Rattus norvegicus: one gene and its partners. The protein of the gene in region 2 interacts with the protein of the main gene of each other region in a biochemical or structural test. Links are inferred from orthologs where the notes say so. Each region holds a gene or a part of one and is shown on either strand. Other genes may lie near its edges. The genes, in order: Ubqln4, Ubc, Ankrd13a, Gtf2ird1, Cfap36, Rabgef1 and Zfand6.

Region 1 (3,500 bases), on a different chromosome or scaffold from region 2:
AGATCTGACTCTTTCTTCCGGCCTCCAGAGGCACTGCATACATATGGTGCACATTTAAATATGTAGACAAAATATCTACACATGTAAAATAACTTTTTTTGACATACATAATCCTGCTGACCATGGTGCCACATCTCAACAATTGGGAAACCGGCTTGGGCGTATTTCATGTTCTGGGATGCCCTAGGCTATATAGTGAGACCTTGTCTTAAATATAAAACAAAAACAGGGCTCACTGAGCATTTACTCAAAGCAGAGGCAGGAGGATCTCTGAGACCAACCTGGTTTGGTCCAGGCCAGCCAGGGCTACATAGTGAGATCTCAAAAACAAACAACACAAAAGCCTGCAGAGACTAACCAACCAGCAGCCCTAAGTAGGGTCTGGAACCCCGTTATTGATAGGTCCCCCCAAGTGATTCGGATGCAGGTGAACCATGAATATATATCACACACACACACACACACTCACTATAGCTTTTGACCCCAGGTCAGCTCCCGAGCCTTTGAGCCTCTGGTGCAAGAGTTTATCAGGAACAATTCACTATGCTCCTTGGACACCATCTTACCTACTTCCCTAAGGACCTCTGTTATACTTTACCCTCATCAAGTTGGCTGTCCCTGGCTGTGCACTACTGGAAATGCCTTCAAGCCAAGGCCCGCCCAACAGGAGACTGGACAAGTAAGAAAGCACTGGGGCACGCCTAGGTTGGGAATAGGGAAGCCTGAACCCAGCCAGCCCTCTGTTGCTTGCCTCCTGGCCCCACCTGTTCCCGGGCAGCAGTGAACATGGGTTCCTGGATGTCCGTGTACATGCGGCGGAGGGCATTATACCCTCCCGGGACACTTTCCAGGTTGCTGAGGGCCCGGTCCTGGTTCCGCATCATTTCTTGCATCATGGCTGGGTTACGAGCAAGCTCCATTGTCTGGTGAAGGGAAAAATATGAGATGGGCCCTGGAACCAGAGGAACACCAAGCTAGGAAAAGGGACCTGAGGAGGGAGGGAGTCTGCACAAGGAGTGCAGGAACTACTCAGTGGTGGCAGGGAGCACAGCCAACCAGATCCCTCCCTCCACTGTAATCTGGGCTTGATCCTTGCCTCCCTGTGGCTTTTCTGAACTGAAGGACAGTGTTCCCAGATGGAGTTAGGTAGCAATTTCCACCTCTCAGGCTCAGGGGACCCCCCAGAGATGTCAGAGAGCATAAGAAACTGGGGGAGCTGTAGAGATGGCTCAGAGGTTAAGAGCACTGACTGCTCTTCCAGAGGTCCTGAGTTCAAATCCCAGCAACCACATGGTGGCTCACAACCATCTGTAATGGGACCTGATGCCCTCTTCTGGTGTGTGTGAAGACAGCTACAGTGTACTTAAATATAATAAAAAATAAATCTTTAAAAACAAGAAAATGGGGGTGTGAAGAGGCACTGAGTACAACCCACCAAGCGCCTAGAACCTGTTCCGTAACAATGATCCAATAAATATCCAATGGATGATAAGTGATTGAATAATAAATGATCTCTTGATCAGAGTCCGGAAAGGCTAGGTATATCCTCTAAGCAAGGAGTCTTAGAAGGCTGGAACAGATTAGGGGAGGAGAGAGGAGTCCAAGGGAGAGGAATAAAAAGCAGTTTACTAGCTTTATGACATCCCTAAAGCTTGACACTGAGAGCAACTAAATGATGTAAAATTGAAGTCACACCCTTCTCACAATAACCAGGTAAGTGTTCCTGTCTCCCTACTGTAAATATGAAAACGGGGTCAGAGAGGATCACTGACCTGTTTCCCCCTAACACACAGGAGTAAATCATACAAACAGGTTTCTAGGCCAGGTCTCAGCAAACCACACTGTTAGTACTGGTAAATCAAACTGGGCAGAGAATTCAGCCTAGACATCCTCCACTTCTGGGTCTTCAGCCAACCTGAATTGTCTGTGACACTGAGGATGAGGCCTCTCTTCTTCTCTCTCTCTCTCCTTTTAAAAGATTTATTTATTTTATTCATATGAGTATATTGTAGTGTCTCAGGTACACCAGAAGAAGGCATCAGATCCCATTATAGATGGTTGTGAGCCACCATGTGGTTGCTGGGAATTGAACTCAGGACCTCTGGAAGAGCAGTCAGTGCTCTTAACCTCTGAGCCATCTCTCCAGCCTGAGAGATGATCTCCTCTTTAGAGCTGATAGCTTACTCTAAGGGCCTGCTGTCACTCAGGTCTCCACAACCCTGATGGCAAGACCCCCTAGCCTGTGTTCTGGTAAATGCCTTTAGTCCCATCACTCAGGAGGCAGAGGCAGGAGGATCTCTGTGAGTTGTGGTCAGCCTTGTCTATAAAGAGAATTCCAGGACAGACAGAGACCCTGTTGTAGTAAGAACTCTGGAATCCTGGTTTCTTTAAAACAAAACAACCACAGAAACAGCCTAGTGGTGGTGCCCACCTTTAGTCCTAGTCCTCTGTAGGCGGAAGAAACTCTCTCTCAAAAAACGTAACACTACCACCACCAACAAAAACCAAGAACAACAAAAAAACAGAAACAGTGTAAGAATATGTTTTTGTTGTAATCCCAGGCATGGGGCCATGGGGCTGCTTCTCAGCAGCTGCCTGTGATTTGCTTCCTGCTCTAGCAGAGGTGTAAGGTTTTGCCAGTTGCAGACAGTTTCTGCCATTGTGTGACATTGGGAAGTTTTCAGAGGGTTTATAAGTGCTAGGTGGGGTGGGTGTTGGTCATTCAGGGGGTCGTGGTCAAAGAAGACACAGAAGAAAGATATTCACAGATCTCTCCCTCTTCTCTATCCTTCTTTCTTTCCTATTTAGTGAGAAGGGGTGAAATGCAGGAATGGATAAAAGGGGGAGGGAGAAGAAACCACAGGTAGCAGAGACCAGCTACAAGCAAAGAAGAAACAAAAAGAAAGAAAAATTAAATTTAGGGATCTCTACTTCTTTCTCCCCTCTAGTCTTTTTTCTCCCCTACCTAGTGATAGGGGATAAAACAGGGGTATGGGGGAAATGGAAGGTTTGGGGGGAGAAGAACCCACAAAGTAGAAAAGTCCAGCTACACCCTGTCTCAAAAGTAAAGAAAAAGATTTCCACTGGGTGTCCTTCTCCACAAGGCATGCTCAGCTACTGGGTCAAACACTGTTTGGACCTTCCTTTTGAGGTTCCTTGGCCTCCAACAGTCTTTTTCTTTCCTTGCTTCATCCTCTGTCTTCCTCTGGGTCTTAGCTTAGTGACATTTCTAGAAGACCTTCTATAAGCCCCGGAGCAGATGTTCCCAGGGCGTCACTAGTTGTCCAGCATTGCCCACAATCTGTCCCACTTGCCTTAGGGTCAAGGAGTTGCTGGCCCGTGTCTGTCCACAACTATCCCAAGTGTTCAAAACACACTTGCTCACTTGCTCAACCGAGCGAACAAGAGGATGGGCAAACAGTGAGCTCAGAGCAGCCGACCGACGCCAGAGCCCTCCCTCCTCCAAGCTTCTCTCAGACCCACCTGCCTCATGAGCTCCG
Region 2 (4,212 bases):
TTGCCTTGACATTTTCAATGGTGTCACTGGGCTCGACCTCCAGGGTGATGGTCTTGCCTGTCAGGGTCTTCACAAAGATCTGCATGCCCCCTCTGAGGCGAAGGACCAGGTGCAAGGTGGACTCCTTCTGGATGTTGTAGTCTGACAGGGTGCGGCCATCTTCCAGCTGCTTGCCTGCAAAGATCAGCCTCTGCTGGTCAGGGGGGATGCCCTCCTTGTCCTGGATCTTTGCCTTGACATTTTCAATGGTGTCACTGGGCTCGACCTCCAGGGTGATGGTCTTGCCTGTCAGGGTCTTCACAAAGATCTGCATGCCCCCTCTGAGGCGAAGGACCAGGTGCAGGGTGGACTCCTTCTGGATGTTGTAATCTGACAGGGTGCGGCCATCTTCCAGCTGCTTGCCTGCAAAGATCAGCCTCTGCTGGTCAGGGGGGATGCCCTCCTTGTCCTGGATCTTTGCCTTGACATTTTCAATGGTGTCACTGGGCTCGACCTCCAGGGTGATGGTCTTGCCTGTCAGGGTCTTCACAAAGATCTGCATGCCCCCTCTGAGGCGAAGGACCAGGTGCAGGGTGGACTCCTTCTGGATGTTGTAGTCTGACAGGGTGCGGCCATCTTCCAGCTGCTTGCCTGCAAAGATCAGCCTCTGCTGGTCAGGGGGGATGCCCTCCTTGTCCTGGATCTTTGCCTTGACATTTTCAATGGTGTCACTGGGCTCGACCTCCAGGGTGATGGTCTTGCCTGTCAGGGTCTTCACAAAGATCTGCATGCCCCCTCTGAGGCGAAGGACCAGGTGCAAGGTGGACTCCTTCTGGATGTTGTAGTCTGACAGGGTGCGGCCATCTTCCAGCTGCTTGCCTGCAAAGATCAGCCTCTGCTGGTCAGGGGGGATGCCCTCCTTGTCCTGGATCTTTGCCTTGACATTTTCAATGGTGTCACTGGGCTCGACCTCCAGGGTGATGGTCTTACCAGTTAAGGTTTTCACAAAGATCTGCATTGTCTATGGAAAAAAAAACAAAAAACAAAAAACCAAAAAACAGGTCAGGAATGACACAAATTCTTTAGAGTGCCACCAACCGTTGGATCTGTGAGGTGGCTAGTAGTTTAGTCTAAATAGCTACACAGACTGTTTTGAATTTTACCCCCTAAAACCAACAAGAAAATAAAAGTCTTGATGGAACAAAGTTATGAATATTAGGCATTGTCTATTACCAAGTTGGCAGGGTGGAGCGTTCAGTACGGAACTGCTGAAAGTCAGTCCCTGACTATTTGCAGTTTGGAGAAAAGCCTGACCCACATTTCACCTTGGGGGAGGGGGGTTTAGGAGGACCCACTCCAAAGAAGTCAGAAACTCAAGAGCTTAGAAGGCAATAGTTGGAAATCCCGGATTCAGGTCCCGACTGGTAGATAGAGCCAGTTACTACTACAAAACTGAACTATGTTCATATCTTTCCTCCCAGCACTGGGGACACTGAGGTGGGCAGATTTCGTGAATTGGGAGGTCAGCCTGAGACAGTGAGATCCTGCCTCAACTCTCCTTCCCCCAAGCTTTTGTCTGAACAATTAAACAGTAGTTTACTCTTACTCTTATCCTCTTAACCTCTTACTTTCACCCCATCTGTCCCTTCTCTCCCCATTCTCCTCCCTGCTCTCTCTCCACATGTTCCGACCAGCTTTACTCCCTCCTCAACTCCCCTTCCCATGCCCTGAATAAACTCTATTAAAAAAAAAAGTAGTCTGGGGTAAGTGGCACTGGCCTTGGACCTCATCACATGGGTGGTAGAGGCAGAGATTTTTTTAAAGTTTAAAACCCTTGTCAGGCTGGTAAGATGACTCAGTGATTAATAGCACTGACTGCTCTTCCAGAGGTCCCGAGTTCAATTCCCGGCAACCATATGGTGGCTAACAACCATTTGTAATGAGATCTGATCACACCTCTTCTGGTGTGTCTGAAGAAATAAATCTTTTTTTTTTTTGGTTCTTTTTTTCCGGAGCTGGGGACCGAACCCAGGGCCTTGCGCTTCCTAGGCAAGCGCTCTACCACTGAGCTAAATCCCCAACCCCTGAAGAAATAAATCTTAAAAAAAAAAACACCCTTGTCTAATAAATAGTTTCCGCAGCCATATCCGTGTAGCGAGACAAGGAAAGACTCAATGTAAGTCAGGCTCACGTTCCCCCTCTGAATTTCCGGTTCCTGTTTACTCTGGAGAGGCTACCCGAGGCCGAGACCCAAACCCGGTCCTACAACTGAGGGAAAGCTAAAGCCATCGTCACTATACACTGTGAGACCACACAAACCGCGACGTCACAGGGGCGATAGGCTAGGCTGGACCGCCACCCTCCCCCTCCCTTCCCAATCGCACTCCTGTATTTAGCAACCGACGAATTCCGGATAACCGACATCTCCCTCCCGTCTAATACCCACAGTTCTCACATCAGAGGCTCCTACAGCGCGCCAACCGAATTCAGTTCCCAACCCAAGCCTCTGACGTTCCCGGCTTAACCGGCGGCAAGCGGCCTCGCGGGCCTGCTTCCCCCAACCTGGTCCAGCGCGTCAGGACCGCGCGTCTTCCCCCTCAGGCTTCCATTTGGCCGCCATCTTGCCGCCCGGTCCTCGGCCTCAGGACAGCAGCCGTCCTCGCGGGCCACGGAAACCAAACGTCCGGGCCGCGGGCTGTCTCTCGCCCCCTCCCGCCTCCCCGCCCCCGCCGGGTGTGGCGGCTTTCTCCTCACCAGCGGTGTTGGCTGCAGTCCTCACAAAAGAGTAGAGACGGAACTGGCGGTCTCCACGGAACTAGCTGCGGGACGCGAGGCGTCTCTTTATATAGTCATCGGGAGCCCCGCCCACCCCTGGATTCCTCCGCGGAAATGCGGTTGGGGACTACTTTTTAATGCCCGGTCCAATCTCTGCAATGGAAGCGACAGGCTAAAACCATTAAGATCGCTTCATGGGGTTGTTCCACTGCGAAGGCCAGAGAGTGAGGGGCTTTGTGTGGAGGGGCAGGACTGCGACCTTGCGCGACCCCGCGGAGGGATCAGCGCCTGTGACGTGATCGGCGCTAAAACCCGGCAGGGATCACTGCAGCCGGAGCGGACCTCGGCGCAGGCGCACTGTGGCTAAGCGAGCCGGAGACCCACCAACTACCCCCCACCCCCTCCGTCAAGGGTCCCAGTCGCCTCTTTCTGTTAGGGGGACCTAGGGCTTTGGCTCTTGTTACACTGATATTCCATTGGTGGCCTCGGCTCCTAAGTTCCCTCACCTCGAGTCGGTCGTCACTGTGCCCAGCCCTCTTTGTTTTGGCACGGTGACAGGATGGATGACTGTGCAAATCTCATAACAAGGGAAATGACAACGGTTTTTTTTATTTTTTATAAAAAAAATGGGGGGGGGGGGGATCTCTCCCCAGTTTGGGAAAACGAATCTGAATTCGTCAAGAAAAGCAGTCAGTCCTCACAGTTCTTGAAAACTGTTGGCATTAGATCTGAAGCCCAGTGGGCACTAGATCTTTCCAGATTCTTCCTAAGTCTGTTTATGTCTGGTGTCCTTGGATTCGAGAAGGTTCTGTTTTCTGTTCGATTGTCACTAAGGAAAGGTCAAAATATCAAAATGTTGTTCATATTCTGAGACTGAACCCATCGAAATCCTATTTTTTTAATTTTTGTTGTTCAGACAGGGTTTCTCTGTATAGCCCTGGCTGTCCTGGAATAGGCTTCGTAGACCGGGCTGGTCTCAAGTTTACAGAGATCCTTCTGCCTCTGCCTCTAAGTGCTGGTCTACAGGGCTACACAGTGAAACCTCGTCTTGAAAAAAACCAAAACCAAACAAAAACCCACACACACACACAAAAAGTACACGTTTAGTACAATGTTCAGATTACAGCAAACATATACCCCACTTGTAAAATTCAGCCTATTCAGGTTTTTGAAATGTAAGGCCTGAGACCTTAGAAGGTAAGAATTGAATCCCTAGGGTAGAGAGATGGCTCAGCAGTAAGAGCAGGTCTTCTTCCAGAGTTCAATACTGAGCAACCCTGTCAGGCAGCTAGCTTACAAAGGCCTTTGACTCCAAAGCTTCTCAAGGCTTCAAGGAGGTCCAATGTCCCTAGGGGCACTCACATACATGTAGCATGCACACACACAGACACACACACTATTAAATGCCTTTAATCTCAACCTTTTTCTTTTTTGAGATTTTTTTTTGAGACAGGGTCT
Region 3 (4,298 bases), about 11 Mb from region 2:
CACAAGTGCTACACCGTCAAGGGACCCATTGTGTTAAATTAGGACAGCCTCAAAACCGAGAGGACCAAAGAACCGGCAAGTACATGAGCATTCTCTCTCAGCCTTGAAGTCAAGGACAGCAATGACCTTAAGTTTTCTCCCATCGAATCTACAGCAAGACTTTTTAATTCCCAAACCCTGCCAAGCCTATGACCCCCAGGACAGGGGAGGCTGAGGAGGGAGACTACTGAGAGGGTTTGAGGCCAGCCGGGGCTACACAGATGACTTGCAGGCCACCTAGATTTACACGGCAACGCCGTCTCAAAACAAAAATAAAAGATTTTAGTTCCCAAACTTTAATTACAAATGCTCTTAAGGTCTGACATGGTCAAAACAGATCTTCCATGCCTTTATCACTTTTTTTTTCTTTTCAGGAAACGGTGACTCGGCCACTGCTGAGATCGTGACCAAGACCTGTCTCTTACTTTTGCAGACAGCTCTCCCTCCTCAGTGAGGAGAAAGCTGCTTTCAGAACTCCGGCCTGAAGTCCGAGGTGTGATAACGAATCTTTCTATCACATGGGATTTAATCTCGTGACATGACTCTCTGTACTTTCAACAGTGTGTGAGCTTCGAACCACTGTCCTCAGCAGAACGACCCGGAGCCCGGAACCCTTCCATGTTCTAACCCTGAGCTGTAGGTGCTTCAAGTCCTTTTCTGCATTTTTTATATTTTTATTTTGAGACAGAGTCACACTTGCCCAGACTGGCCTTGAACTTGTCATTCTCCTGCCCCGGCCTCCAGGACGGGGGCCACCACATCTAGTCAAAACTGGTTACTTCTTGAAGTGTCCGGAATGGGGCTTGTGGATGGGTGTAAGAGCTTAGATTCTAGAGAAGGCCTCTGAGCTGTGTGAGAGTTAGATCAGCAGGTATACTGGGATAGCAGGCAGTGAATCATCCTCTCTGGGGGCATGTGTCATATCTCTTTAAATCCTAAGTAGTTACCCTGTCATCTAATTAAGAACAATGACTCTTACAGAACCTTGCCCTGTCTGGACCCCACCCCCATCCCCCACATACCTGAGGATGAAACCCAGGGCCTCCCACACAACAGAAAAGTGTTCGGGCCCCACAGGCTGTCTCACCCTTTCTTATTTATTTTCAGACAGGCCCTCACCAAGTTGCCCAGGCTAGCCTCCAACTCCAGATCTTCCCGCTTCAACTTCCTGGGCGATTTGGGTTGCTGATGTACGCCGACATGCCCGCCATGGAATCCTTATTTTTAAAATGTGACTTTTGACTTCCCATGGTGCCCATCCAACTAAAAATACATATGGCAAGCTATAAACCAAGGCCGAGTAGAACTGTTCCAACAGCAGCAAGGCAATGTTTACCAATCAAAAGAACCAAGGGTTCGCAACAGTTACTAGTCAGCGGTAAGTCATTCAAAAGCAAGCCTCTGACACACAGGCTAACATGAATGAAGCCTACAGTAACAATTGTGGTGGATTTCGGGAGTAATTACAAATCCTTATCTCATTTGCTACAGGTTAGAGAGCAACCCAGACACCCCATACCTAATGAAATGACTGCAGCGCCCTTAATGCCAGGAGTCTCCATCCAGGTGGCTCAGCCTTCAGCAGGCCACTCCTCACCCAGGTTTGGGGCCAGCCTGGGCTACACAGTGAACTCCAGGCTAAGCAGGGGTTACACAGTGAGACCCTGTCTGCAGCAAAAACAGAGAAAAACCAAGAAACCCAAACAAACGAAATAATATAACACCAAGATTCTCAACCAAGGCTCTACTAACATTTGGAGTCCGGTAACACTCTGTTGCGGGTGGGTGGCTGCCTTTTACACTGTAGGGCACAGCGGGGTCCCTGGCCTCCACCCAACTCCATGCCAACAGTACCCACCTCTCATGTCACAACAGCCCCAAACTTCTCCTTGCACTGCCAAATATTCAGAACCGCTGATTTAGAAAGATGGCAATATTAAAAACAACAACAACAACAAAAATCCAAAGTACTTCAGAACAGGGGGGTCCTAAGGACTGAGCAGCAGAGACTCTCACACTTAAACCAACTACCCTGGGGAGCTCGTTAAAAGCACTGATTCCTAGGCCCCGTCCCAGCCCCATCAATTTAGACAGGGACTGGGCTTTCCGTCATCACTGCCTACACCCTTATCCTATGGGTAAGGAAAAGTGGGCCCCGGAACATAACTGCTTTGCCCAAGGTCACAGGAGTTAGAACCGGTCCACGGAACCCAACCAAGCTCTTCCCCAGCACCAGGGCGGGTGGAGTAAGGGGTGTGTGTGTGTGTGTGTGTGTGTGTGTGTGTGTCGCTCTTCCGTCTTCGAGTAAGGGGTGTGTGTGTGTGTGTGTGTGTGTGTGTGTGTGTGTGTGTGTGTGTGTGTCGCTCTTCCGTCTTCGAGGCCATAAAGCTTAAAGGTGAATTCCCGGGCCAGCCGGCCTGAGATAAAAGATCCCGACGTGGTTCTCATTAGCTCGGTGGCCTTGCGCCTTGCGCAAGGCAAGTAGGCTCTGGGGTCTCAATTTCCTTCCCGGTCAAGCGGAATACTAAGCACTCATTCCTAGTGATATCAGAAAGGGGAGAGTGGACCAAAAGCCCAAGGCACCGGGCCCGGTCTACGGTGAGCGCTTGATAGATCCCGGGACTCGGGAGTCGAACCGACTCTGACTCCGCGCCGCGCACCTCACCTGGTCCCGCAGCTCCTTCTCCAGCTGCCGGTAGTCGTTGTTCCAGACCAGAAGGTGCAGCGGGAAGCGGCTGCTGGTGTCGCGGGCCGAGGACATGGCGAGGAGGTCGCCACCCAGGCCTGACCGCCCGCCTGCCACCAACCTGGACCCACCCGACGGGGTCTCGGGGGCCCGCCCGACCGGACGGAGAGCGAGGGGAGGAGAGCGGCGAGCGGCCAAGTGCCGGGCGCAGCGGACGACAAGGGCCTCCGAGTCCGGAGCGGGCGGCGCGGGAGGCCCGGGGTCGCGGGCCGGGCTGGGGACCGGCTCGGGGACCCGCTCGGCCGCGCCCACCCCGCGCCCCGCGCGCTCGCGCCCGCGCTGACAGCTAGCGAACCGACTGCTGCCGGCCGAACCGCCCCGAACAGGGAAGTACGCGAGGCGTTCCATCACGCTCCGCGGAGGGGGACCTGACTTCCTGAACGGACCGAGTCCCGCTCCATGTCGCCCCACCAAGCCCCCACGCCTGGACACACGACCACCACCGTTCTGTGGAACTGCGGGACCCTTGGGAAGCCCGAGATCTCCACGCACAAAACCCACTGTGCGCGCCCTCCGACTCTCGTCCCCTGCCCGGCCTTCTCCAGTGGTGCGCTCCACAATCGGGCCTCTTCCATCGGCTCTGCCGCCCGGGGGTGCACGCGCAGGCCTGGACCAAACCATCGGACTGGAGCCTCCCTCAGCCGCCGCCTTCCGCGATTGGTCGGAAACCATTTTGGAAGTGGGCAGCGTGAAATCGTGTTCACAGGAGATCTGGACCCCGGATAAGTGACACCAGATACCCTCACTATCGGGGTAGTTGTGTCTCTGGGCTTTTAAACTTTGCAGTGTTTGAACTGGGGGGTTCTGTGCGCGGAGGTCATCCGATGCTTTGTAAGTTAGGGTGGACGCTCGCCTGTTCCATGCTGTCAGTACTCACACTATCCCCCAAACTGTCTCCAGACACGGGCAGTTTTTTCCCCTGGAGGAAGAAAACCGCCCTGTTGAAAACCGCTGTTCTGTCTGAATTTCCAACTCGGCTATAATTCAAAGTGCTTGCCGTGAAGGTTTATCCCGCATCAGCCTCACTAAGCTAACCACTCAGATTTAGGATTGTGGCCCAGAGGAGTATCCAGGTTGGTCCACAGTATGCACAAGTAAAATTCATCCTTTGGGTTGCGACTTCAGACACTGTGTCTTCTCGTCACAACGAAGAAACAAGTGCTGTCTCTGCCCAGGTGTTTACAGCTGCCACGAAGTCCTCCAGTGCAACCTGCAAAGCACCCCCTCTTCCTTATTGGCTCTATATACACAACCCATCTCTTCAGATGAGTGCGAAGGCTGTCCAAGAAAACTGACCACGTCCATTCTGCTCGGGTCTGGAGTCCTTGAAGAGTGAATGGAGCTAATACAGGATACAGTGACATAAAGACGGCACCTAGGGGCTGGAGAGATGGCTCAGAGGTTAAGAGCATTAACTGCTCTTCCAGAGGTCCGGAGTTCAATTCCCAGCAACTACATCGTGGCTCATGACCATTGGGATTCTATACCCTTTTTTCGTGTGAGCTGCAGCGTA
Region 4 (3,500 bases), about 9.0 Mb from region 2:
AAATCAGGCTGAGCACCAGCAATCATCTCTTTTCTGTTCTTTGCATGACCACCCAGCACAGCAACAAGAAAAACTAACACAACGACCTCGACCCACTGTGGGCGGTACCATCCCACATGCTGAAACCCCAGATTAATTTATACATATATAAATAAGCCTACCTGACAATAAGCCTACCTGACTTGTCGTGGACGATGGAGAAGAGGATACGCTTGGAAGCGTGGACATTCTGGATGAGAGGCCCAGCAGGCCCTGCAGGCGCCTGTCCTAAACAAGGGGGACAGAGGCATACATTTTAGAGGGGTCCCACCTACTCGAGAGAAACTAGAACTGAGCCCCACGATCATGAGGCCCGACCCCTAATGACAGCTCTTAGCTGCAATCTGTGTCAGAACTGGCTATCCAGAGGTGGGCGTCATGACAGAATCTTACCCCTTTAATTACACTTATTTGTCAACTTATAGAGATCAGAGGACAACTTGTGGGAGGCCGTTCCTCTCCTTTTATATATGGGTCCCAGGAACTGAACTGAGGTCGTCAGGCTTGGAGACAAACGCCTTTAGCTAAGCAAACACTAAACTGAGCCACATCCCAGCACCCAAATCTGAAATGTCTGGTTGAGGAATCTTGATCCCAAGTATCTTCAATAAAGGATACTCGGGCTCATATTCTCATTCCCATTTTACAAATGAGGAAACTGAGGCTCAGTGAGAGGCTTGCCCTGTCACGCACAGCTAGGATAGAGCCTACTTCTTCATACTCAGCTGTTCCTTGCACTTGCCTATCGAGCCCATGCAAGCAAGGTCTGTGGATGCCCAAGTTGAACTGGGTCCCCACAGAATGCAACTGGCTAAACCCCACCTGTGCCCAGAAATACCTCCTCCTTAGAGGTAACCACCCAGAGAGACATGTAGGTCCCCACTACAGCATTACCACAGCAATCAGAGAAATCTTGGGTGCTGGGGACATGGGGCTCAGGCACAGGCCAGCCCAAGCCCAGGTCGCTGGGGGTCAACGGGCAGGTTGGCACCTCCTGCTTGAGTTCCCGGATGGTGTGGTTGGGCATCGAAGTGCTGTACAGGAAGTTGGCCATGGAGGATGGGGTGGCGGTGGGGGTCAGGTCTTGGGGAGAGACCTTGGAGGCCTGGCCATGCAGACCACAGTCTCGGGACCCCTTGGGTAGCAGAGAGATACCGTTCATCTCCACCAGCGCCTTTGTGTCCTGCCCACCGTCATCAGGAGGCCTGAGTGGAAGAGAAGAGATGGGGACTTCTCTAAATACCTATTCTCGCTCTGTAAATCTCACCCATCAGAGACCAAGTAATGGGGTAGGATGGAAGCCAGGCCCACTTTGTGGGGACAATGAGCCTGATACCAAATGTCAACCACTGGATGACCCAGGCCCACACCAAGCCTGCCTCAGTGCTCCAAGCCACCAATCTCATCCTCCACCTGGCTCCCTCCCATCCCATCTGTCCCTCCTGCTCATGCATTGCTGGGGAAGATAGAGGCCCTGGCTATGCTGTTCCCATGGGATCCACCTTGAGCCCAGCCTCGAATTCACCTCCCATCAGCCTCTTAGGAATCTCATTCATGGCCCAAGATCACACGTAGGCCATTTTGTTTCCTCAGCTCAAGGCATTTACATTTAATACATGTTTTTGAGGCAGATTCTCATTTAAGCAAGGTAGCCTCAAACTCACTGTGGTGGTTTGAATATGTCTGGCCCATGGGAAGTGGCACTACTAGGAGGTGCGGCCTTGTTGGATAGGGGTGGCCTTGTTGGAGGAACTGCGTCACTGTGTAGAGAGGCTTTGAGTCCTCCTAGTCCTCAAGCTCTACCCAGTATGGAAGAGATTTCCTTCTGGCTGCCTCTGCATCAGGGCGTAGACCATTCACTTCTTTCTGGAACATCATATCTACCTGGGTGATGCCCTGCTTCCCACCATGATGATAATGGACTGAACCCCGTTAACTGTAAGCCAGCCCCGATTCAATGTCCTTTACAAGAGTTGCCTTGGTCGTGACGTTTCTTCACAGCAATGAAACCCTAACTAAGACAGACGCTGGCACTAGATTATTGCTATGATAGACCTGACTATGTTTTTGTTTGGAGGAATGTGGATTTGGTGGGGACTTTGGATTATGAAAGCAGTGGATTACTTTAAGTGGGGCTTAATGAGCTGTCCTCGTAGAAACATGGAAGACGGTGGTACTGAGGGAGATTTGAACAGTGTGGGCCTGGCTCAAGAGGTTTCAGAAGAAGAGAACTTTAATGTGTGGCCTAGAGGATGTTCTTGTGATGATTTGATAAAGAATGTAGCTGGTTTTTGTCCTTGTCTGAATATCTGCGTGAGGCCAAGGTGAAGAGATTCAGATTAACTGCATCGACACAAGAAACCTCAAAAAGCCTGGTCTACACTTTGTCCTGTGGTTGACTCTTTTTTTTTTTTTTTTTTGGTTCTTTTTTTTTTTTTTTTTTTTTTGGAGCTGGGGACCGAACCCAGGGCCTTGCGCTTCCTAGGCAAGCGCTCTGCCACTGAGCTAAATCCCCAACCCCCTGTGGTTGACTCTTATGAGGAAGATTTTTTTGATCAAGCATAGCAAGGTTAAAGAGGAAAAATATAAAATGTATGGTTTAAAATAAAATATATATAAAATATAAAATATAAAGTTTAAAGGGGCACCAGGAAGCGGAATGTAGCTAAGCCCTGTGTTCAAGGATATTAAATAGAATTGAGGGAGTGGTAACTTCAGGCAAGAACCCACCCAGCTAAGCTTTATTGATACCTTTGCAGTTGAGCAAGGGACAGTTATATCACGTTAGGGGTTATTATAACCTGGTTATTGTTTTCATTTGGAGATATGCGTCTGTGTCAAATTGACAAGGGATGGATTGTGACCGCTCTTCTCCATTGCCAATGTGACTACATGTGGAATGAACTGTAGTTCAGAACTTATAAAGATCTTGTGAAAAGGGAAAAAAAAAAAAAAAAAAAAAAAGCTTAGGGCCAGGCATGGTACACATGCCTTTAATCCCAGCGCTGAGACAGAGTCATGCAGATCTCTGAGTTCAAGGTCAGTCTACAGAGCAAGTTCCAGGACAGACAACCTTAGGCATCGAAGGAGTTGGAAAACAGAAAGCTGGTGATAATGTAATAGAACAAGGGGGCCATGTCCCAACCCCAGCAAGCAGCTTCACCCATGTGGCTCTGTTTTGTTTTGTTTTGTTTTAAGATGTATTCATTTATTATATATAAGTACACTGTAGCTGTCTTCAGATACACCAGAAGAGGGCATCAGATCTCTTTACAGATGGTTGTGAGCCACCATGTGGTTGCTGGGAATTGAACTCAGGACCTCCGGAAGAGCAGTCGGGGCTCTTAACCACTGAGCCATCTCTCCAGCCCGTGGCTCTGGTTTTAGAGTCACAAATAGAGAGGACTACTGGGACAATTAATGCTGGTTAGCCTAAGAAATTTAGTGGTGATTAAGAAGAG
Region 5 (3,500 bases), on a different chromosome or scaffold from region 2:
TCTTTTTCTTTTTCTTCATTTTGGTTTTTCTCTGTAGAGTCCTGGCTGTTCTGGAACTTATTCCATAAACTTACTCAAGGCTGACCTTGAACTCACAGAGATTCTTTTGCCTCTGCCTTCTGGGTGCTGGGATTAGAGGCATGTGTGTGTCACTATTGTCTGACTGATTAATCTTTTAAGTAGTCATGATTTATCTATTTATATCATCTTGTCATCATACTGTGAGTCTTGGCCAACTGTGGTCATCAAGTTTGGCCACAAAGTTGTTACCTATTTCTTCATTCTTTGAATGTTTGTAGTTGAACAGTGATAGTTCTTCTTACATTTTTTTTTTATATATCTGATCATACTGTGAATTTTAAAGTATGGTGTTAGCTGTGGTTTTTGTTTTCCTTTTGTTTTCTTGAGATAGGGTCTGGAGTAGTCTAGGCTGGCCTCAAAGTCACTATGTAGCCCAGATTGCCTTTTTCTTAGCTGGGTCAACAGTCCATCAATTTCAACAAGCATTTAAAGAACCAGAACACTGGCTCAGCAGAGAGCTCTTTTCGAGGACCTGAATTCTGTTCCCAGCATTCACATTAGGTGGCTTACAACAACTATGATTCCAGCTCCAGGGGCTCTCACATTCACAGAGTTACAAATAATGAAAATAACACTTTAAAAAGACCAGAACAATTCCTTTTATGCTTACTGTTCAGATTATAAAATGTTACTTAATTCATTTAATATTTGTGAATTAGTTATTATTATATTTGTTTTATTCAGAAGCAAATGTTTTAAAAAAGATTTTATGTGTACTGTGTATATAGTGCCTGCTGAGGCTAGAGGAGGGCATTGGATGCACTGGAACTGGACTCACAGATGGTGTTAACTATAATATGGATGGTTGGAATTGAACCTGGGTACTCTTACTTGTGGAGCCATCTCTCTAGGCCCCAGAGACACATTTTTATATCATAATATATTTAAAATGAGATTGTTTTGCATAATTAATAGTGTTATTTAACTGGTAGTTTTTCTAAGTGATATATAAAGCAATGTCCTATTTTATTACTTTTCAGAATCCTAGAGTCCATGAAACACTACATAAATTCTGTGTTATTTTTATTGATGCTAAGGATTAAATGATATCCAGGGTCACAGATCCACTAGTGCCTATAGTTAAATCAGATGTAGGCTTTTGATATCAAGCTTCTTTTCCTTCCATGATATGCCAATGTTTCTTAAACTTTAATGCTTTAAGAGTTACTCTGTGGAGATATGTGGGCATACATCCTGTAAAGCTTATATAGTTTTTAATGTCTAAAACAGGGCTCAGGAAAATGCTTTATTAACAATCATTTTTCTTGGATTTATTAAGTAGGGTCAAAGGTCACAAGTACAAATTCAATCTTTAAGAAAATTTGTGCGACATATTGCTATCAACAGCAGTGCCCATAGTTGAGTGTGGTGGCTCAGACCTGTAATCCCAATACTTTGTCTCAGGAGGCAAATTATAATTGAGTTTGAGGCCAACCTAGGCTACAAAGTGAGACCCTGTTTCAAATGGCCAAAAGTTCGATAGAATAGCAATGCCATTTTAAAAGTTAGATAAAGTACTTGTTGTTAGTATTAGGCCAGGATGCCCAACCCCCAAAAGGGGATTCAGACAGAAGCTGCCCATATTGGTTTTAGCACTCTCAGTTCAAGTTTGCCATCCCCTGCCTTGAGATTCCTGAAAACCTCAGCAGAAGTTAAGGAAGTATTTTATATTTTTCTTCATAGTGTACTCCTTGAAGGTGCCTCTGAGAACCACTCTTGCCTTTACCCTTGTTATACTGCACATCTAGAATGTGTTGAACTGGTTTGGCTGCTAGAGGAAGGGCTCATCTGTTTCAAGGGGAATTCTTTGATGAGCTGTCTTGTCGGTGTTCTTTGTAAGAACATCGCCTTTGCCTTCTAGGACACAGTACCTTCTTGGTTACTTCTGCATGATTTTGTGTGGTCAGCTTTTCCATTCATCTCAGGTAGAGCTGACAATTAAATTCTGATAAGACAAGATAAGACCTGGGTGCTTCCTTTGGGTATTTCCATGCACTTCACTCTTATTCTGCTCATTAATTAGCTTAGGAATTGGCTTGTTCTTGGCAATGTGTAACGTTACTAATAGTTAAGGAAATATTTATATATGTAATCTATTGATAGATACTTTTATTATTTTTTTAAAGATTTATTTTTATTTTATGTGTAAGGGTGTTTTGTCTGTATGTATGTCTGTGTACCACATGTATACCTGATGCCCTCAGATTGAGTTACAGATGCTGTGAGCCACCACCGTTTGGGTGCTAGGGATTGAACCTGATGCTCTGCAAGGGCAGCGATCTTTGTTATCCAGCCATCACTCCAGCCTCACTTTTATTCTTCACTTACTATACGTTTTATAATTCCTAATCTAATATAATCTCTGACATATATTTTTTTTTCTTATAAGACCCTAATTTTTGTTTATTTCCTGAATCAAACCCAAAGTAAATTTCAGGAGATAGGATATAATTGGGCTTTAAAACTCAAACCAGATGGTCATGTTTTCCATTTAACACTACCTGGTTTGGAGAAGGAGCCTACCTGTCTCACTCCTGGAGACTTGCAGGTTGAGTGAGGTAGCTCCTGAGAACCTTATTTTAAAGGCTTAAAAATAAAATCATAGCAGGGTATAGCTATGCACCCTGTAATCCCAACACTTAGGAGGCCAAGGCAGGAGAATTAGGAGTTTGAGGCTACATAATGAAACCCTTTGTTGTGTATTTCAATCTTAAGATTGTCTATTTGAGTCACCTAACCATCATAATGATGTAACATCCATGAATTAATATGCTGCTTTTCAGTGGAAATAATTTGAATGTGGGTTAAACAGTTTCCAAACTTAAATCATTTAACCTCCAGACTTCCTCCCACAGGCCATTTTGCAGCCTGTGTTGGCAGCAGAAGATTTTACTATCTTTAAAGCAATGATGGTCCAGAAGAACATTGAAATGCAGCTTCAAGCCATCCGAATAATCCAGGAGAGAAATGGTAAAATACTGAAGTTAGGAATCTAAGTACTAACTGAATTTGTTTCTGAAGTTTGATTTTTTTTCTAACAGTCTTAAAATAGTTGGCTACCTTTTATGCATTTATTTCAAATGTGAAAGTGTTTGTAAAAGATTTAAGAATATAAATTTCCTAATTTAGCATATGGCATCTCAAACAAAGAAGACAGTTTGACTTACTGACACTGTAGTCTTGTGAGAGCTTACTCTCCTGCTCAGCCGTTGTGCTAGTTAAGTGTTGTGTCTGTTGTTACTGTTATGAGCAGGTGACGGTGACTACTCTTCTGCTTGTCACTATTAAGACCTTAGTAGGAAATGGTTCTCTGGTGTCAGTAAGCATTGGGTCAGCCATCATGGGTCTGGGGTGGGACATAGTCATCTGTGTCTTAAACAGGTTTCCAGGTGTTGCTGGACCTGTTGATCCTGTCCACA
Region 6 (3,986 bases), about 4.8 Mb from region 2:
TGGCTCAGTGTGTAAAGGCACTTGTCACCAGCATGGCCTCCGGAGTTGAGTCCCAGGAGCTCAAAGGGTAGAAAGAGAGAAGTGACCACTGGGGCTGTCCTCTGCCCTCCGTACATGTGCTGTGGCATTGCACACTCACACATACCATAAGTCAATGTAGGCACTGGACAGATGGCTCCGGGTTTAAGGCACTTGCTGCACCTGTAGAAGACCTGGGTTTGGTTCCCAGCAGCCACACGGCAGCTCATCACCTCCCGTAACTCCAACTCTAGACAATCTGACACCCTCTTCTGGTCTCCTCGGGTACTGAACACGTGTGGTGCACTTACGTACATGCAGGCACCATACACATACAAATAAATCTTTGAAAGTACAGAAAGAAATATCACATTTGAGGCTTAGGAGTAGCTAACTTGCCTAGCACTCTCAAAGCACTGAGTTCAGTCCCCATCGCTGCATGCATGGTGGCACACATCTGTTCTCCCACCATGTGGAGGGTAAAGGCAAGAATATCCAGTCCAAGGTCACCCTTGATGACACAGGAAGTCTGAGGTCAGCCTGGAATACAGGGAGAGCCTGCCTCAAAATACCATTAAAGGCCCAGCAAGGTGGCTCAGTAGGTAAGATAAAAGGCACTTGCCACCAAGCCTAATGACCTAAATTCAATCTCCAAAACCCATCTGGCTGAAGGAAAAAAAAACCCTGGCATCTATACATGGAGATAACCCCTCTCACAAAACAAGATAGTTTTTTTTAATATAAACATTATGTACCATATGAATGTGTGCATGTTAGGGCCTGGAGAGATGGCTCAGCAGTTAAGGGCACATACTGTTTTACAGAGGACCTGTAAAAGTAACTTTTATTGGCCTGTTGTAATTGCTATCTTGGAGGCTTACTGATAGCCTAGGCCTAGTCCTGGAAGCTCCTAGCATTTGTACAATCTTAGCTAGGCCTAGAGTGTTTTCAGCCTCTCAGACTTGCTGCTGAATAAGCTCACCTTTTCCTAGTTCTTTCTGAACTCTGGCTGTCTGGTTCAACTCAGCTGTTCAAGCTCAAACTCCTCTCCGAGCTGACTGATTCAATCTACCCCCCACCCCCAACCTCCTCTCAGCCTCTCCTGAATTGCTTTGTTTGGCCTCATATAACTTTGGCAATCTGTTCTAACCTATTGGTCCCTTCTCATTCTCTGGCTCGTTCTGTCCTCACCTGTGTCTAACTTGTTCTCTCTTCAACCTGTCTTTGTTCAACTATCCCAGTAAAACTGCCTCTCTCCTTCTCCCTCTCGGTGGTGCTCAACTCTCCCTCTCAACTCTACTGCACTGCTCTCCACACTCTACTGCACTCCTGTCCTGTGCTCTCCTTTTCCTGTACTATCTGTCTCTCCCTTAAGTAGTTTCCCTTTCCTCTCTCTCGTCTCCTGTGAGTCAGGCAAATCCTATTCTGTCAAATCTTTCTCTGACTTATCACTTTGTCTGCCACTCAATTACCCATCACTGTCAAACAAGAGTGCCTCCTTTACCTTCATTGTTTGGGATTAAAGATGTGAACTAAGGGTGTGTCTGTTCCAGACAGAGGGATTAAAGGTGTTTGCTAAAGGTCGAGCCACACCTTAACTAGAAACAGTTATTTTCAGTAAAACAATCTTGGGGTTCAGTGTGATCAAATGTCCTGCAACAGGATCCAAGTTCCTTCACACACACACACACACACACACACACAAATAAACCCTTCAATGGTGTCAAAGAGATTGCTCAGAAGTTTAGAGTACTTGATCTGCAGAGAACCAAGGTTCAATTCCCGGGACATCACAAGGTCACTTGCAACTCTATTTCCAGGAGATCCTTTCTGACTCCCACAGGCACTAGGCACACATATTTCAAACATACACACATATACAGAGGCATACATACATAATGCAGACAAAACATTTATACGCATAAAATAGTAAATATTTTTCTAAAAAATCTTTCATAAAGAAAGGAAGAGGGGTACAGGTAAAAAAGAAAGAAAGGAAGAAATGGACTTGCTGAGATGGATACAGTTCAGAGGGAGAGTTCACACCCAGCATGTCTGGGTTCAATCATCAGCACTGACAATCGGGGGGTGTTTGAAGGAATGTAGCGCTTTTCCCTATTTGAGAGCCACACAAAATATCACTATCCAGCAAGACAATTCCTAGAGCAGAGTGGAAACCAAGTGTTTTTAGAACAGAGGACAGAAAACTCCAGAAGAAAGGTTTGAGAAGGCACTACAGTGGTGACGCTCACGGCAGGTCTACAGGATGACGAGGGTTCTAGATAAGCAGGCCTGGGCATGACAGACTGTATGCCGGTTCTGTCTTAGTGACCACACCACACCTCCACATAGCCTGTGAGGTCCTTTACCGTTCTGCTAGTTCCCAGTCCTCTTGGATCTGCCTCTGCCGGGCCTTGTGGTACTCCTCCCTCCAGCATTTGGAGCAGAAACCCTGCCAGGCAGGGTTTCCATAATAACCACATCCTTTCTTGCACAGGAGCTCCGACTGATCCACATGAATTCCCCGGCGTTCGGACTTCAGGCTCATCTTCTTCCTGATAACCAAGGAGTGAGAAAGCATTGAAAATTAACTTGCTTCCATACTATTAAAATACAACACTTATGAAGCAAAATTCAAATGAGTCTGAGCTCTTCAAGCCATAAGGGGAGAAAGAAAGAACAGAAGGAGAGAAGAAAGTACAAACGCCAAAGTTCAACACGGCGAATTCAAGTACAGCCACAGTAAAGAAAGACTTCATCTGAGGCCCGAAATACACAGAGCACCTTAAGAGCCTAATACCGGATTAAAGACCTAAGCATAAAGCTTTAAACTCCTAGAAGGAAAGCTTCCTGACACTGGCAAAGACTTCAACACGCCAAAGCACAGGAAATAGAAGTAACAAAACCAGACAAATGGCACAACAGCAAACTTCTGCACAACACACAATGCAACCAACAGAGTGAAGAGGCCACCTACTGAATGGGAAAAGACATTTCCAACCTCTGCAGAAAAGGTCAAGCCCAAAATATATGAAGAACACCGACAAGCCAACAAGATAGAACACACAACTCTCCTAAGGAGAAATAAGTGTCCTACAGTCTGCAAGACCCTGTCTCAAAAACAAACAAAATGACTAACAAAGACTGGGAATGTTGGCATAGGCCTGTAATCCATCAGTCTGAAGCAGGAAGACTGCAAGTTCTAGGCCCACCTAGCTTAGAGTGAAACCTTACCTAGAAATAAATATTTAGTAGTCAGAAAACACTTGAAGGAATTGGAATAAATCAAAACCATAATGAGACATCATTTCACACTACTGAGAAAGCCACCTTAAACACACACACATACTGAAGTGCTAATAGGAATACGTATCCGTTAGATACAGCCTTTTGTTGCATTCAGAAGGCTGGGAACTGGAGGTGAATAGCCTGGTAGTCTGTATTGTCTGTAGGACCAGGCCATACCAAGCTCCCACAACCAGGACCACAGGTGGCTAACAGCCCAAATGACCTCTATGCTAAATGTGTGATGCAGACCAGGCCAGAACACCCCTCTGTCCTAGCTAATACAGGTAGCCTGTCTCTACAACCTATCTTGGAAGAAATGATACGTACTTCTAGATGAGTTTCAATTATGCCTCCTTGTGTACCAGGGACTGTATTACACCAGGAAACAGTTTTCCAAACTGCACCATGTTTAAGTGTGCAAGACAATAAACCGCCTGGCATCAGACTCCCGAAGTCTGACCCAGCCTGGATGACTAAGTCAGGCTGAACAGTCTACACCCCACCTCTTCAAGGGTTGTTTTGCTGCCAGTCATGACACCTACCTTTATTTCTTCTAGGTTCTCTTCCCTTTTAAGATTTATTTATTTCAGGTATGTGGGTACACTGTCGCTGTCTTCAGACACACCAGAAGAGGGCATCAGATCTCATTACAGATGGTTGTGAACCACCATGTGGTTGCT
Region 7 (2,723 bases), on a different chromosome or scaffold from region 2:
TAAATTTATTCATGTGATCAGAATATATACTTTTAACACTAAATCATATTATATATATGTTATTAAAATTAAACATTTTTCCATCAAGAAATTTGTACTGTAAAGTACAACCATTGTTATTTTTAAGCAGGCTAACTTCTAGAAAAGTTTGGAAGCCAGAGGACAAATAGGTCTTTGTAGGGTCTTTCTAGTACATAATTCTCCTACTGACACAATTTGAATGCCTCTAATCCTACAAAGTAAAGAAGCTCATTAGATTTTAATTTGGTGTAAAAGAGTGCAGGACAGTCAGATGAGGGTCAAAGTATATCACATCCAAGTTACTTGGCTTTGAAACTATTCTAATGTCTTCACTCACAGGAATATAATTTGTCATAACACCTAAGTCATAACTAGAGGTGAGACAAGTAATAGTGGTGCTCTTACCATATTAGGAAAGCAAAGCCCTAAAAGATTTAACAAGACAAATAACTACCAGAAAGAAGAGGGAAAAGTAGCACTTTTTTTTTCTGGTTTTCCTTTTTATTTAATCAAAGACTGGTGAATAAACATAAATACCGCACAATGACCAGATCATTCTTCATACTGTGCACACACAGACCAATGAACAGTAATCGCAAAGAAACTTGCAGTCAGCAGTGAAATGCACTCAGCTTTTCTTTCCCTTGTTTAAAAAAAAAAGGAACCGAAAGCCACAAATTTAGAATCTCGTCAGCACATATTCTGCTGTGACAAATGATTCAAACATAAATAGTGGATGTAAAGAAACTATATGCTAACATATGTATAACCTTTGTTAATGAAAAACCAAACAAACAGAAGCAGCCGTAATGATTAAGATACATTCAGTTACTGATAACTAGTTGTACCCAGAAGGGCCTTATCAAAAGGGAATCGTGCTGCAGAGAAAAGCTATATATACATACACAATGAGAAATAAACTGCAAGATCAACGCATGCATGTTTAATACTGGAAAAAAATCACAGCCCTCCAGAATTTCTCCACATTTGTTATAAAAGCCCTCTGCACTCAACTAAAATTAAAATGATCTTAAAAGTATAATACTTCTTTTCAGCCACAGAAACTGCAATGGAAATAAATGTTCAGAGTCATTTTCAAAACAAAAACAAAAATCTATTCTTCTGATGACATGCATGATTCAACGGTCTATGCAAGATACGGTGCTCTACATTCCCAAGGACTAGGAAAAAAAACCTCAAGTCAATGTTTAGTTTGCAGATAGTCAAAGGATTTTGTATTCCAGCAGGAGTTCAAATCTTCTGGATCTTTTCACCAACAACTACTGGATTTTCTTTTCTGATTTTCTCAGCAGCATCAGCTTTGTAATTGTAAGAGCAATTGTGAACATCTGAGTAACGGTGCACACCACAGTAAACATTTCCACACCGGCATTCAAACCCTGGAAATGGATGAATATGTGTACAGCATGGGTTAGACAGGAGCGTGAGATATTAAGTTCTTCCCACAGTTAATGCTAAGTAACCCTGTCTCTAAGTCTCTGAAGAATACTGTAAAGTTTCAAGAGCTTCATTCTCAACTCATTATCAGATAGCTTCCTGTCTTGCTCCCATCTACATATACTTATTTGTACGAGGGCAAGGCTGATTTTTTCTCCAAGCTGGTTTCTTCACTTGTGATATGCTCAGTTTCTTCCTAGGAAAAGGCTGCTAAACTGAAAATGGATCATTTTTAAACTGAAAATACACAATGTAGAAACAAGCCTACTGTCAGAACAACTGTAACATTTAATTGACAGCAGACCAGTGACTCCAGAGACGTGCTGCTGAGTGACCTTTAATTTCCCCCTCTGCTAAGCTCTCAGGAGCTCTCTAAGTGAACAGTTCTGTCTGGGGAGATGAAGAAGACCCTTGAAGCAGATTTCTGTGGGCCAATATCCTCAGAATCAGAGACAATTCACTAAGCTTCTCTAAGTCTCACATATGCACTTTTTAAGGGGTCATGAATTACTCTAAGGACCAGGTGAGTGTCCAATATACAAAAACACCCAATAAAAGCTACTTAATTTTAGGGCTATGCCCTGTGAGCTCAGAAACTCAGAGTGACAGTGATTGCTTTTATGTTAGTGTGCATTTGGGAAAACAGAGCTCAGGAATAATCAATATCTAATCAACAATTGACATTCACTGTCTTTACCACATTTTTAACTTTAAAAACATATTCTGAAACTAATAGAAAATTGAAGCAATCAAAAGCTAAATTAGATGAAAACTAAGTCCTAAGCCTTGTGATCAGGAAGTCTGAAACTTCATGAAACTTTTAAATGATGTCTTTGATATTAAATATGTACATCTTAAATTAAATATATATTGAAGGAATGGGGAAGTTTAGGTTATCTTTGACATCATACTTTAATCTCCTCCCTCAATGCCAACTCATGTTTCAGCAAGAAGTAGATCCTAAGGTATCATTTTTTTTTCTTCTATTTTTGCGAGAGAGGTGGTCATGTAGCATATGTTGGCCTTGAACTTCTGATTCTGCCCCCAATTCTCAAGTGTTGGGATTATAAGCATATGCTACAATGAAGCATACTTTTCACTCAAAATCTTACTGTGCTCTGTTCATACACCTGATTTTTATACCTGTATTTGGTACTATGCCAAAATAAATAATAAAAAAAATCAGCAAAACTATTTTTAGTTGCACCACTTTCCAGTGAATCCCAGAGAATCCCAGGCTTACG

The links.
Region 1: the proteins of Ubc (region 2) and Ubqln4 form a complex in vitro, tested with the Homo sapiens proteins (4 studies listed by BioGRID). The link is inferred for Rattus norvegicus from reciprocal best matches to the Homo sapiens genes UBC and UBQLN4.
Region 3: the proteins of Ubc (region 2) and Ankrd13a form a complex in vitro, tested with the Homo sapiens proteins (4 studies listed by BioGRID). The link is inferred for Rattus norvegicus from reciprocal best matches to the Homo sapiens genes UBC and ANKRD13A.
Region 4: the proteins of Ubc (region 2) and Gtf2ird1 form a complex in vitro, tested with the Homo sapiens proteins (3 studies listed by BioGRID). The link is inferred for Rattus norvegicus from reciprocal best matches to the Homo sapiens genes UBC and GTF2IRD1.
Region 5: the proteins of Ubc (region 2) and Cfap36 form a complex in vitro, tested with the Homo sapiens proteins (2 studies listed by BioGRID). The link is inferred for Rattus norvegicus from reciprocal best matches to the Homo sapiens genes UBC and CFAP36.
Region 6: the proteins of Ubc (region 2) and Rabgef1 form a complex in vitro, tested with the Homo sapiens proteins (10 studies listed by BioGRID, with this or other methods). The link is inferred for Rattus norvegicus from reciprocal best matches to the Homo sapiens genes UBC and RABGEF1.
Region 7: the proteins of Ubc (region 2) and Zfand6 form a complex in vitro, tested with the Homo sapiens proteins (6 studies listed by BioGRID, with this or other methods). The link is inferred for Rattus norvegicus from reciprocal best matches to the Homo sapiens genes UBC and ZFAND6.

What each region holds. Positions count from the first base shown.
Region 1 is NC_086020.1:176,313,524-176,317,023, reverse strand, and holds part of Ubqln4 (ubiquilin-4), read right to left. Parts: coding exon 3,484-3,500; intron 953-3,483; exon of another isoform or gene 924-952; coding exon 765-923; intron 668-764; exon of another isoform or gene 1-667. UniProt on the Homo sapiens protein: Regulator of protein degradation that mediates the proteasomal targeting of misfolded, mislocalized or accumulated proteins.
Region 2 is NC_086030.1:36,899,088-36,903,299, reverse strand, and holds the start of Ubc (polyubiquitin-C), read right to left. Parts: upstream 2,801-4,212; 5' UTR 2,734-2,800; exon of another isoform or gene 2,171-2,733; intron 1,001-2,170; 5' UTR 998-1,000; coding exon 1-997.
Region 3 is NC_086030.1:47,485,657-47,489,954, forward strand, and holds the start of Ankrd13a (ankyrin repeat domain-containing protein 13A), read right to left. Parts: upstream 2,801-4,298; coding exon 2,705-2,800; intron 1-2,704. UniProt on the Homo sapiens protein: Ubiquitin-binding protein that specifically recognizes and binds 'Lys-63'-linked ubiquitin. Does not bind 'Lys-48'-linked ubiquitin.
Region 4 is NC_086030.1:27,942,746-27,946,245, reverse strand, and holds part of Gtf2ird1 (general transcription factor II-I repeat domain-containing protein 1), read right to left. Parts: intron 1,245-3,500; coding exon 934-1,244; intron 268-933; coding exon 178-267; intron 1-177. UniProt on the Homo sapiens protein: May be a transcription regulator involved in cell-cycle progression and skeletal muscle differentiation. May repress GTF2I transcriptional functions, by preventing its nuclear residency, or by inhibiting its transcriptional activation.
Region 5 is NC_086032.1:107,178,907-107,182,406, reverse strand, and holds part of Cfap36 (cilia- and flagella-associated protein 36), read left to right. Parts: intron 1-2,936; coding exon 2,937-3,051; intron 3,052-3,500. UniProt on the Homo sapiens protein: May act as an effector for ARL3.
Region 6 is NC_086030.1:32,121,376-32,125,361, forward strand, and holds the start of Rabgef1 (rab5 GDP/GTP exchange factor), read right to left. Parts: upstream 2,801-3,986; 5' UTR 2,600-2,800; coding exon 2,388-2,599; intron 1-2,387. UniProt on the Homo sapiens protein: Rab effector protein acting as linker between gamma-adaptin, RAB4A or RAB5A. Involved in endocytic membrane fusion and membrane trafficking of recycling endosomes. Stimulates nucleotide exchange on RAB5A. Can act as a ubiquitin ligase.
Region 7 is NC_086019.1:147,989,599-147,992,321, forward strand, and holds the end of Zfand6 (AN1-type zinc finger protein 6), read right to left. Parts: intron 1,422-2,723; coding exon 1,273-1,421; 3' UTR 501-1,272; downstream 1-500. UniProt on the Homo sapiens protein: Involved in regulation of TNF-alpha induced NF-kappa-B activation and apoptosis. Involved in modulation of 'Lys-48'-linked polyubiquitination status of TRAF2 and decreases association of TRAF2 with RIPK1.